Kluyveromyces lactis: one gene and its partner. The protein of the gene in region 1 purifies or fractionates together with the protein of each later gene. This does not show direct contact. Links are inferred from orthologs where the notes say so. Each region holds a gene or a part of one and is shown on either strand. Other genes may lie near its edges.

Region 1 (7,190 bases):
AATAATTCTACGTCTGCTGCTACGATAAGTGCTTCTGATATTACTACTACTGATTCAGATAGAACTAGTAATCCAAGCGATGATAGTGACTCTAAACAGGGTCCTCGCCCTTCCCTGGGCTCGCCAAAACTGACGAAACCCGTCAAACTGAGTTTGCATTCGGAGGTGCAAACTGACGTGGAGACTGACGTAGAGTCTCAAAGCGAGTAAATGACAATGCCTTTTTTTCTCTTTACCCATTTCACTTCATTTTGGTAATCCCATATCTGCCTGTTTTTACCTTAATAATTCTAAATTCTTTCTCTGTTCTTATTACACTAATCTCTTCATAACATCAATCAATTCAAATACATCTCTAAACTAATTGTAACACAAGTCTGACATATCTAACTAACATTCATAGAAAACTAAACACAATAAGCTTTAACCAAGAGTATTCTTCCCCAAGCTTAATCTGCATGCAGAGTTCCCCTATGAACTTTGGGCCTGTTTCCTTTAACATACTTTTGGAGAAACGGTCTTTGTTTCATTACTCATTGCCAAGGATTATGTCCGAAGTTCTATATTCTTCTCCACTTTAAGTCAGTTTGATCCAGATATAAAGATATATAAGTAAACATATATGGATTATAAGTATGTCCCCATGATGCTTGATGGTGATAATCAGTTGAATGTGTAATCTCTTAGGGCACATTATTGATATCAGGTTACAACTCCCCTAATAATTCAGTAATAATATGATAAAATCGACGAAAAGGGTGACTGCAGCTGTACCAAGAACTGATTACCGGAGTACGTTGAGTGGGACCGACGTTCTTGAGATTTTCTACGATGTCTACGAAACTGAGGATCTTAGAGCTGTTCCCGAGGTTAACATCGTGTTTCTACATGGAACGGGTATGACAAAGAGCATATGGGAATGGTACGTGAAATATTTCCACAAACAGATCCAAGCGAACCCTGAAAAATACCAGTATAAGCTTGGGAAGCTAATAGCAGTGGACCAAGTGAACCATGGTGATTCCTGTGTTGCCAACGAGGGGAAACTTGGCTCTATATTCCATTGGATCGATGGTTCTAAGGATATTATCAAGATATGTGACGTTGAGTTAAATCCTCCAAAACAAAACAGTTTCAACGTACTGATTGGGCATTCTATGGGTGGGCATCAAGCTCTTGGTTGCGGTATACTATCTCCAAACTTGTTTCAGCTTATCATAACCATGGAGCCCGTTGTTAAGATGCTTAACCCACCAAGTCCAAAGAAGATCACGCTTTTGAGTAACAACTATTTCAATGCTATTAGCAACATGGTTCAAGACACCTTTGCCACAAGGGACGAGTACGAGGAGTTCATGAGGAAGCGCAGCTTTTGGAGAAACTCTGATAAAACTATTTTAGATACTTTCTGTGACGCTGAGTTGATAAAACGAGGATCGAAATTCCACACGAAGACTTCAAAAGAGCAACACCTCATCGGGTACATGTGTCTCCACCCCTATGCTTACTGGTTAATTGACAACTTGAAATGGATTGAAAGCCCCGTGATTTGCTACGTGGGTGGTAAATCTAAATGGTGTCCGCCGGAAAATTATCAGCTGTTACAGGACACCATTCCTCATTACAAACGCATCCAAATCGACAATGTCGACCATCTTATGAACATTGAAAATCCGAACGTAATCGGACCGATGCTTCTTGGCCACATTACGAAAAAACTCCAATCAGCCTCAGTGGATGAATTACACAACAATAGAGATCAGTTCGAACCATTGTACAAAGAATTAGTCGCTACACGAGTCGTAAATAAACCCAAATCAAAGTTGTGAAAGATGCGGTTTTAAAGTTATAGCAGAAAGGATATCTGTTAATGTTACTTATGAAATTATATACTCAATGTAAAGAGCTTATTTCCAGCCTTAGTTGCCTTAGTTCTTTTTAGACTCGGTAGAGGTTTCGGCTGAACCAGAGGTTTCAGTAGAGTCCTTCTTTTCGGAAGATTCACCCAAGAAAGATCTAGCTTGGTCTTCGAACTTCTTGAAGTTTTCTTCTCCGACCTTAGTCTTGATTTGACCCAATCTTTCTTCACCCAAGTAACCCTCAGCCTTCTTGACCAAATCTTCACCGCTTTCACTTTGTTTCGATGCGTAGCTCTTAACACTGTCTAACAAACCCATGATGCTTCTATTCCTGATTTTATTGCTTGCTTTCTTGCTTGCTAATAATGCCTTATCTGCAAATACGTAATCTTGTGAAACTTTAATTAATATGTAAAGAAGAAGAAGAACTTATCAAAGAAACTTCTTTTCCCGGCCTCTATTTATGGCAATTACAAAAGTAACAAGTAATAGTCTTTGCAACCTTGCCTATCCGAGAGAGGGGTAACCAATGCTTACCGGCCAAAAATGTGGGTACCCAATGGTGTGCATCGTTTCCGTTCGCGACTTTTCAAAAACTTTTTTCCTAATCCGTTTGTTCGAGCCAAGATTCCTCACAGCTTTTTCAGCAACTTCTATGCATCTTAATTGGGTGCGTGTCAAGTGTGGCATTTGGTTCCGTCCATATTGGTCCGGAATTGACAAAGCGGTTTATTGTTCAATGACAAAGGTTTTTGAAGGTTTATACAGTTTAATACACAATAGTTTCGATTGTAAGTATATATTGGAAACAGTTTTGTCTCTTATTCCAAAGAGTTAGATGACGATGGTGAATGATGGTAGTTTATGGTTTTCATTAGGTGAGAATTGTTTGGAATTGATCAATCAGTAAACTTATAGGAGCCAGAAGCCATAGTGATAGACCCACCTCTGTAAGAACCTCTTTTCATCTTGTTTTTATTTTTAGTGAAATCTTTTCCTCTCACACGGCTCAACTTATCGTTGGCCATTTCACCCCAGGTACCTGCGGCACCTTTGTATGTATTATCTGTCAGGACTTCGTGTTCAAATGCAATCTTCTCTCTTTCGACTCTGGAGAAATGTTTTCTTTGTCCAGGCAATACTTCATCAACGCCAGCTGAAATCATTTGTTTCTTTGTTGAAGGTTCTTGTGATGATTCTTTGGAATTTTCAGTGGAATCAGATTCAGTTTCAAGAGGACGTTTGCTGTTGGTTTCGGTTTCTACTGCAGTTTCGCTATCGCTGCTATCGGAGTCGCTAGATGAGGAGGACGAATCTGAGGACGAATCTGAGTCTGAGTCTGAGTCTGAGTCTGAGTCTGAGTCTGAGTCTGAACTAGAGTCCGAACTAGAGTCCGAGCTGGAGCTAGAGCTAGAGTCTGAATCTGAATCTGAACTAGAGCTAGAGCTAGAGTTTGAATCGGAGTCTGAGTCAGAGCTTGAATCGGAGCTAGAGTCTGAATCGGAGCTAGAATCAGAACTAGATTCCGAGTCCGAGTTTGACGATTTCGACACCTTTACTTCCACTGCTACTGGCTCAGATTTTTCATCTTTTATCTTAATTTTGATGTCTTTTTCGTCCTCATCATCGGATTCTGAGCTGGCACTGGAGCTAGAGTCTGAGTCGGAATCAGAGTCTGAGCTGGAACTAGAGTCTGAGCTGGAACTAGAATCTGAGTCTGAACTGGAGTCTGAGTCTGAACTGGAACTGGAACTGGAACTGGAACTGGAACTGGAGCTACTATCAGAGTTCGATTCTGAATCTGAGCTAGAGCTTGAACTAGAGTCTGAGCCAGAATCCGAATCCGAATCTGAACCTGAACCTGAACCTGAACCTGAACCTGAACTCGAGCTGTCGCTGGAATTGGAACTAGACTCTGAACCACTTGACGATGATTTTACCTTTTTGTCATCTTTCTTCGTCAATTTTGGCACTGAAGACTTGGAACTTTGCTTCTTAACACTCATCTGTAAAAATTAGACTATTTCCTCACCCAAACCACTGGTGATCCTATCGTAATCGCTCTTGGATAAGATCTGAACCTACCTCATCGCAAGCTCATCTCGTTTGGATAACGCTATTAATCTCGAATTTTTTTTCAATACGTTTCTTTTGCCGTACTATGTGACGATGTCCTGAGGTGTGGTGTATGGGTTGTTTCAGTCTTACAACTACTAAAACTGTAAAAACAACTAGCAAAACCGGCCTTTTCGTCTATTCGGCAACCTCGTTGTTGTATTGTTAATCGTGGAACTACCTAGTGGTTGCAATGGTTATTAGTTGGTCATCCAACTCTAACTTATATTGGGTTTTTGGCTCATTCTGGTTATATTGTTTGTCCGGGTAATCATTTTTGCCTCAACATTATTAATCTGAAAGATGATTTTAAGAGAACTTTAACTTTAATTAGATGTTTAAGAATCAAAGTCCAAGGACGGACAAGGGAATTAAGGTCTATCCCCGGAGTCTATCTGTACACTAATTGTGTCATTATGGAAGATGAGGTAGTGAAGCGTTCATATCACACAAGAAGTAGAGGTGGAAAGGAGAAATTAGTGCAGGACACGGTTTTTTCAGATGACTCTTTGGTTACAGACGATGAAGAATACGGGGATATTGCCCCAGATATCGACGATGATGTCTTAGATGAAGAAGAGGAAGCTGAGTTAAAGGAATCTCTAATGCAGGCGAACGCTCCTGCTCCTCAAGTGAATCCTCTTTTGAGTCGGAAATCGAAGAAAAGTTCTTCTTCTTCTAGATCTGCTGCTGCTGCAACTGCTGGTAGTGGAATGAACCATAATCTAGCAGCAAAGGATGATATCCTTCATGCACATTTGGACGATATTCCCCCTGATTTTGAGCCTGACGTTGTTTCAGGAATGTTCAAGACTAACGATTTCAGCTACTTAAAATTGAAGCCGGATCATGCCTCGCGGCCTTTATGGATATCGCCTAACGATGGACGTGTGATCTTAGAATCATTCTCTCCATTGGCAGAACAAGCACAGGATTTTCTTGTGACGATCGCAGAACCCGTTTCTAGACCATCTCATATTCATGAGTACAGAATTACGGCTTACTCTTTGTATGCTGCGGTTTCGGTTGGTTTGGAAACTGAAGATATCATAGCAGTATTGGACAGATTGTCCAAGGTTCCTGTTGCACCTTCGATTATCAACTTCATTAAGAGTGCAACTGTATCATACGGTAAGGTGAAATTGGTCATTAAGCATAATAGATATTTCGTGGAAACTTCTCAAGCTGATATCTTGCAAATGTTGTTAAACGATCAAATCATTGGTAATCTAAGAATCGATACCGATGCTGCAGTGGATGCTGCGGTTAAGAAAACCATGGCGAATAAGATGGTAGATGCAGAGGGAGTGGATCCTAACGATGTGGAAGCTGTCTTTTCAGCTGTCGTGGGGGCCAATAAGGAACTTGAAGAAGAAGACGATGATATAGATGCGGTTCATGCTTTCGAAATTGACAATGCATCTGTCGAAATTGTGAAGAAAAGATGTCAAGAACTTGACTATCCGGTGTTGGAAGAATATGATTTCAGGAACGATCGAAGAAATCCAGATTTAGATATCGATTTGAAACCATCAACTCAAATCAGACCATATCAGGAAAAATCCTTGAGCAAAATGTTCGGTAACGGTCGTGCAAGAAGTGGTATTATTGTGTTACCATGCGGTGCTGGTAAGACTTTGGTCGGTATCACAGCGGCATGTACTATCAAAAAGTCTGTGATCGTGCTTTGTACTTCGTCAGTGTCAGTCATGCAATGGAGACAACAATTCCTTCAGTGGTGTACGCTCCAGCCTGAAAATGTTGCCGTCTTCACATCAGATAACAAAGAAATGTTCCAAACTGAATCTGGTCTGGTGGTCTCGACTTATTCCATGGTTGCTAACACTAGAAATAGATCGTACGATTCTCAAAAGGTTATGGATTTCTTAACGGGTAGAGAATGGGGTTTCATTATTTTGGATGAAGTACATGTCGTACCTGCAGCCATGTTTAGACGTGTTGTGTCCACTATTGCCGCACATGCAAAATTAGGTTTAACTGCAACTTTGGTGCGTGAAGATGACAAGATTAGTGATTTGAATTTCTTGATTGGTCCAAAACTTTACGAAGCTAATTGGATGGAACTTTCACAGAAAGGTCACATTGCTAATGTGCAGTGTGCGGAAGTTTGGTGTCCAATGACTGCAGAGTTTTACCAAGAATATCTAAGAGAGAATGCGAGAAAAAGAATGCTACTATATATTATGAATCCAACCAAGTTCCAGGCGTGTCAATTTTTGATTCAATATCATGAAAAGAGAGGTGATAAAATTATCGTCTTTTCAGATAACGTCTACGCTCTTCAAGAATATGCTTTGAAGCTAGGTAAGCCTTTCATTTACGGTTCCACGCCACAACAAGAGCGTATGAATATTTTGCAGAATTTTCAATATAATGACCAAATCAATACCATTTTCTTATCAAAGGTTGGAGATACTTCGATTGATTTGCCAGAGGCGACTTGTTTGATCCAAATTTCGTCTCATTACGGGTCTAGACGTCAAGAAGCACAAAGATTGGGTAGAATTTTAAGAGCTAAGAGACGTAACGATGAAGGGTTCAACGCCTTCTTCTATTCTCTAGTTTCTAAAGATACTCAAGAAATGTACTACTCCACAAAGAGACAGGCATTTTTAGTTGATCAAGGTTATGCTTTCAAGGTTATCACCCATCTACATGGTATGGAAAACTTGCCTAATCTAGCATATTCTTCTGCTAGAGAACGTAGAGAACTTTTGCAAGAAGTTCTTCTCAAAAACGAAGAAGCTGCAGGCATTGAAGCAGGTGAGGATAACGATAGCTACATTTGGAAGAATGGTGGGAACAAGAGACCAAGGAACAAATCTAAGGCTGTTAAGAGCGAAGGATCTTTGGCTGGTTTGGCTGGTGGTGAGGATATGGCATACCTAGAATACAGTTCCAATAAGAATAAAGACTTAAGAGATCATCATCCATTGATCCGTAAAATGTACTATAGAAGTGCAAATAAATGAACAATATTGGGTTTTATAATTTATCATCCGTATTAAACTGGCATACTTTAAACAGCAAATGAATCATCTTTCCAAAAATCGCATCACGAATCAGTTTTATAAAATCCTAATACTTAAATATACCACATATAATCACTATAAAAAGATGTTTTCGTCCGCTGTCTAAAATAAACAAAGAAATGATTGCTTTTGCACAGTGAATTTCAACAGTATTGATATTGTA
Region 2 (5,886 bases), on another chromosome or scaffold:
ACCTCACGCATTGTATCATTCCCCTTGTATTAAAAAAATAATATTAACCAGCGACCACGGATATTACGCTCTCTCTCTCTCTCTCTCGCTCTTCTGGTTGATTTTGAATTACGTTTAGCATTGATAGATTAAAAACCGCTGGACGTTAAACTTCTGAAACTTTACGACACAAGGACAAATAAGAGTCCTGGCAATCATATAATGCTTCAGCTAGAGGAGTTGTTAGATGAAGAGCTATCCTGTATTCATCATGATGAAATTTTAAGTGGCTTCCATGATTTCTTGGCCAAACCACATTGTGATGAGAACTTATGGTTCATCAAAGCCACAAATCCATTCATGAACCCGAACTCAAAACTCTCGTTTACACATTGGAATGACGTTTATCGTCGTTTCATCCAAGAAGACGCACCAAAAGAATGTAACTTCCCAGAATCAATAAGGATCTGTTTCGATGAAGCCTTCCGTAAACACGGCCTACCAACTCACGAAACTATAGAACAAGCAAGGCTACACATTGTAAACTTACTACAAGATGCATACAGTAAATTTCAAAGAAACTCTGATATACCGGATAATATCAAGTACACCGACTGCTACTGCCATAAGGACGGTACTCTTTATCACCATTCTGACACAGATAAAGACCAAAATACCTCTCACTCTCACACCACTGTGCTGACACAAGAAAATATAGACTTGGTAAGTCCAATCCTGGATAAGCTTAGCGAGTTCGCGTTGGAGGAAGAAGATGAACTAGAAGAAGGTGACGACGAGGCAAGCGTCGGGGAACGTTTGGAGTATCAAAAGGCTAAATCTACTGCCACATTCAGATCACGGACACGATCTACTCCACCACTAGTATCAACACCTCTGAGACCAAACACTCCACCTTCCCCCTCGGCTGAATCCACATCATCTACCCAAAAATCTTTTGGTAGCTCTCGAACTCCACAAGAGAAAATACAGCACGTCTTACCTCCTTCCCTAACGCCATCTCTTCCCTCAGCTCAAAGGCTGAAAAAATCTCATAGATATTCCATCTCGTCCTCCTCGAAGGGATCAACGGCCTCATCGTCTTCATCAGTGTCGTCTCAATCACCGACAGTTAATAGCTCATCACAAAAGTTCTCGAAATTGGTACACAGACTAAAATTCGGCAGAAGTAGTAGCAGCAGTGGTGGCCAAAGTGGTCCTCAATCATGGCAATCCTAAACTGGTTCTATTTCCCCACGGTATCTAAAAAAAATAAAAGAATTACAAACAGATCAGCACCTGCATTTTAAATCCCTGAGCACAGTGTCGAACAAACAGAAAATTCGTTTCTGCAATATTAAAACCTGATTACTTACAAAAATACTAATACCACACACTGTGTAGACATGCGTTTGTTCTTGTTATTTTTCTTTTCTACTTTAGAACTCTGCTTCGCCTCACCACCCAGGTGATTGCAAAATTAAAAAGTTCTGATCTGCTCTACCCTTCAGATTGTATCCTTATCATCATAATAAAAATCATTAAAAAGAGTCCTCTAATTGCACATACCCATCTTCGATTCTTAAGGTTTACGTCAGCATCATTACAATCATCTGTCGCTCTTTCATTGTCAACTTCTTTTTTTCTATGCCGCATCATGATTTATTTGTCCTTTTCTAATGAACTTCTTGTGGAATTATCATTCTTCTTCAATTACGTTTCAATGAAATCTGTTTCCTGATCACTTAGTCTAATGTATAATCTCCCAGGCTGAATCGGGATAGACAAACCCGAATCATGTTCTACATACAAAACAATCATACGTAATTTGACTGTAATCCTATAGCATAATATTAACATTTATATCTTCGTATCTGTCGGAAATCCTTCAACTCCTCTATGTATTTATATCTATTTCCTCACCTTAACATTCCATGGGTTCGATCTAAGACCTCAGCCATATGTACTAAAGGACTGGTTATGTCCTTAATAATTCCAGTAATATGGTGTGTTTTCTTCTCTTTTCAAGATATTTTCGTTACATCATGAAAATCCACATATGATTATCTGGGGAATACTGTGAAGAAAGAATTATCAATGAACACAAGAACTGAATATTAAAGGTGCTATCTTTAAGAATTCCTCTACATCAATATCCAACAGAAATCATTCGCAATCAACTAGAGAGGAAACTACTAGAAGATTATTACCTGTTCGTGAACATTTTCATGCTTATAGCAAGGCGGTTCATCTCTTAAAGTTTTAAATATAAAGCAAGATTTTACAGTTGTAAGAAACATTTTCAATTAATGTCATCCATTCCAACACCAACTACGCCTACCGCGCATGACGCAGGTGAACATGAAATCAACGAAATAAATGAGGACGAGCTATTGCAATTAGATTTGAATCCAGATTTGGATGATGTGGAAGACGTAATAATGGAGGAAGATAATGAAGGATCGGTACCTCCGACCCTGAAACGCACATTCATCGATAACGAGAAGCAAAACCCGGAATTCGATGATCTGGAAGATTTTAAGCCTGTTTTGGACATCAGGTCTCCGTTTGAATCTCACGTCGATTTACCACAGTTATCACGCACCCAAGAAAATGGCCCAAATTCAAATGCGAGAAGATTATCTTTATCCCAGCAATCTAAATTCGTATCTTACATAGACGAAAGACTATTGCAAATTCAGAGAAAATTCGTCCAAAGTAGAGGTTTGAATAAAGAGCAAGGGTATGAAAGTCTTTCACAAGTCCTTCTCGACTTCAAGAAATTGATCGATTTAATCTGGTATTCAGTCGATGGCGTCAGCAACACTGACGCTATTTTACAATTAAACTTGGATGACACTGCTCTTTACCAAAAATATCAAGGTTCTGAGTCAACCGATTTTGGTCAGTCATATTATCTAATCAGAATTTCAGACGATCTTCTAGATTATTTGGATAAATTTCCATTAACCGAGCAAGATGAATTTGATGATGATAACGAGACCAATGGTCGTTTTGATAATGGTTTTTCAAGTAATATAGGCCAATCCATGAAGCCTGAAACGTTTAATGCAGATTCACCCCGTACCCATGGATCTTTAAGAAAGCTATTTAAATTATTGTCTATATTAGACTTTATTTTTGCTAGATTAATTGACGGGAAAGTTCCGGGGAACTTTAGAATAAGTGGAACAGAAATTGTTAGATTAATTGGAATAGCTGAGAGGACCAGAATATTACTACCGAAATTAATGGAAAAGAATGACATTCATGGCTATCACTATGAAATTTCAAGGGTGTATCAAGAAACCTTAGAGAGAGGTACATAGCATACGTAAATACAGGATGAATACAAATGCATTATTATCACAGTTGATCAAATGGATTCACATTGTGAGAAGTCACCAGCGAAGGCGTAGATAATGGTGTTATTATATTCGAAGCTGTATGATCCGTGGTATCTCCATGCTGACCTGCCGGTGATCCTTGATTCGTTGTGTGATTTTGCTGTTGTGATGGCGCATCAACAGAACTTGCACCAACATATGAAGGGTTTGAGGATGACTGCTGATTGGTAATGGAAGCACTTTTGTAAGAGCTTAGATCGAGTATAACAGTAACATCCTTTGTAATTTTAGCTAAAGAGGCTAGATTAGGCCTCACGTCATTCAAAGTCGGCAGATCACTCATGATTTCCTTTGTGTTGGCTAGAATAGCTATGATTGACTTCAAAAATGCATTTATATCTTCCCAAGTTTTGAGCTTTTCTTTAGTAACCAAATATGTGTCAATATCACTATTGGAAATCACATTTAGTCGTTTTTTTAACACTTTCGATAACTCCATGGATTGGAAGCAAGTATCTGTCAATTCTTTTGTTTTTGCAGCAACCGTAGGAGTTATTGAAAGCTGATCGGAGGTAGTACTAGCTATTGCTGACTTTGTTATTGCCTGCGTCAATTGTGAATATACAACGTTAACCATATCAATAACTGTATTCAACGTATGGTATAGCTGCAGGTCTATATCCTTATCTGCAAGTGCTTGTGAGGGGATATTGGAGGTATCGGTGGGTGCGGCACCTTGTGTGACTGTGGAGGCAGTTGATTGCTCACTGTAATTTAGACTGCGAGGTGGTTTCGGTGAAGAATCTAGTATAGGCGGTGTTGTTGAAACTTCAGATATCGGTGTAGTCGTGAAAGATGTTGGATTAATTGGCGGGGTAACCTGTTGGCCATTTTGATTCGCATAAGGACCATTTATACCTGGTGTGTTGACATTAATTGCAGACTGTTGGGAAGAGACGCCACTCAGAGAAGAAGATCGATTAATAGCAGAAGACGATTTTTGCCTGCTGTTTAAATACTTTTGGTACTGAGCCATGTTCATAGAATGAACTGAATGCGTTCTGGCTAGCTTTTTCTTTTTCATCATTTCCTGGTTATCCAAAACAAGTAGTTTCCAGGCGTTGAATATTTCAGTATACGAACATAATATGTTCATGTAGAACACCCTTAAAAAAAACACGTCGTTATTGCCAAAAAATGCAGTGAAGTTCTTTCGAAGTTGAACAAAAATCTTTTTGAATATAGAAAGTATGGTCAAACATAGTCGTATCAAAACATCATGATGAAGGAACTGACTTTGCGTTATTGAAGGATCATTTTGTTGACTATTATTTTCAAATTGTTCCAAGACTTCAACTAAATTATCAATATGAGACTTGAGACTGTAAAGCTGTGACACAACATTAACCGAAATGGTCTTTTCAGAACATAGCGATGTTATCTTCCTAATGTTTTGCTGACACTCAGTGAAAGTGAACAAAAGTTTCCTGCAAGCTAGCACAACATTTTCCATAGATTTTCTTTTCTTTTCATGATGTGTCTGTAGTAATTCTTTATAATTCTGTTCATCTGTTTCCTCTTCTACCTCTTGCAAATTGGGTTCCTCTGGCAGAACAGATAATCTTTTGAAGTATTCGTTGAATTTTGAATGAGAGTAAAGATCAAGATCGCTCTGGGGAGACGTGAGATTATTCTCATTGTCTTCCGAATCATGTGAATTTCCAATAAAGCCCATTCGTTTCGCAGCCCTTGCTATCTTTTGTTGTGGATCCAGAGTTGTAACTGCCGGTGTTTGTGAAACGGTATTGTCACTGAAGAATTTTCTTAAGGCTATAACCCAGTATTCTTCCGCAGAGCACTTGGAACTAGTAAAACCTTGTAGAACCTTCTCGATAACATCATTTGGAAAATTATTCCCATCTAGTTCAAGGACTCGTAGATTCTTTAACTGGGATATTATAGGAAATAGTGTCTTGATGGATGTTAGATTGTTGTTCCTCAATGAGAGTGTAACAAGGTTATCACACCATGTCTCTGGAAATTCTTGAGGTAGCTGCCATATGTTGTTGTTAGAAAGATTTATTTTTTCTAATCGAAGGCATTGCATTAACGATGGAGGAATATCATTGAATCTGTTATCAGAAAGATCGATGGTTCGAAGATTTGTCAACTTTTTAAAGGATCCGGGAAGCTGTGTTAAGTTATTCTGGTGCAAAGAAAGGTTCTCAACTAGTTGAAGCAGCTCAACAGCATCATCTGTTATTGAAGACAAACCAAGATCAGCTAATGAAACTGCTGTGTTATCCTTCTGATAAATCTCTTTATTAACAGGGTGCATCGGGGGATTTCCATTTTGACCTTGCCTGAGTGATGTCAGTAATTCCGTATGGTTATCCATGGCACAGTACGTTAATACCAGCTGATCTAAGTCGAGAGTACAAAACTTTGGTTAGAACTCTCCAGTAGATCTTTTGAAACCAAGTCGAAACAGCGTTGGGCTTTCCTATTTATTACTAGATTTACTATGAAGCTTATTTTTGATGATCATTTTCTAAGGAAACAT

The links.
Region 2: the proteins of SSL2 (region 1) and TFB6 purify together in Saccharomyces cerevisiae (affinity purification with mass spectrometry; 4 studies listed by BioGRID, with this or other methods). This does not show direct contact. The link is inferred for Kluyveromyces lactis from reciprocal best matches to the Saccharomyces cerevisiae genes SSL2 and TFB6.

Annotation. Positions count from the first base shown.
Region 1 is NC_006041.1:1,154,021-1,161,210, reverse strand, and holds SSL2 (TFIIH/NER complex ATPase/helicase subunit SSL2), read left to right. Parts: upstream 1-4,390; coding exon 4,391-6,967; downstream 6,968-7,190. Other genes in the region: DNA-binding protein SRL3, read left to right, coding at 1-210; LPX1 (triglyceride lipase), read left to right, coding at 738-1,829; KLLA0_E13069g (uncharacterized protein), read right to left, coding at 1,929-2,177; SRP40 (Srp40p), read right to left, coding at 2,759-3,865. UniProt on the Saccharomyces cerevisiae protein: ATP-dependent DNA translocase. Component of the general transcription and DNA repair factor IIH (TFIIH) core complex. When complexed to CDK-activating kinase (CAK), involved in RNA transcription by RNA polymerase II.
Region 2 is NC_006039.1:1,119,246-1,125,131, reverse strand, and holds TFB6 (TFIIH complex subunit TFB6), read left to right. Parts: upstream 1-2,285; coding exon 2,286-3,305; downstream 3,306-5,886. Other genes in the region: GTPase-activating protein RGS2, read left to right, coding at 202-1,215; SOG2 (Sog2p), read right to left, coding at 3,343-5,721. UniProt on the Saccharomyces cerevisiae protein: Component of the general transcription and DNA repair factor IIH (TFIIH) core complex, which is involved in general and transcription-coupled nucleotide excision repair (NER) of damaged DNA and, when complexed to TFIIK, in RNA transcription by RNA polymerase II.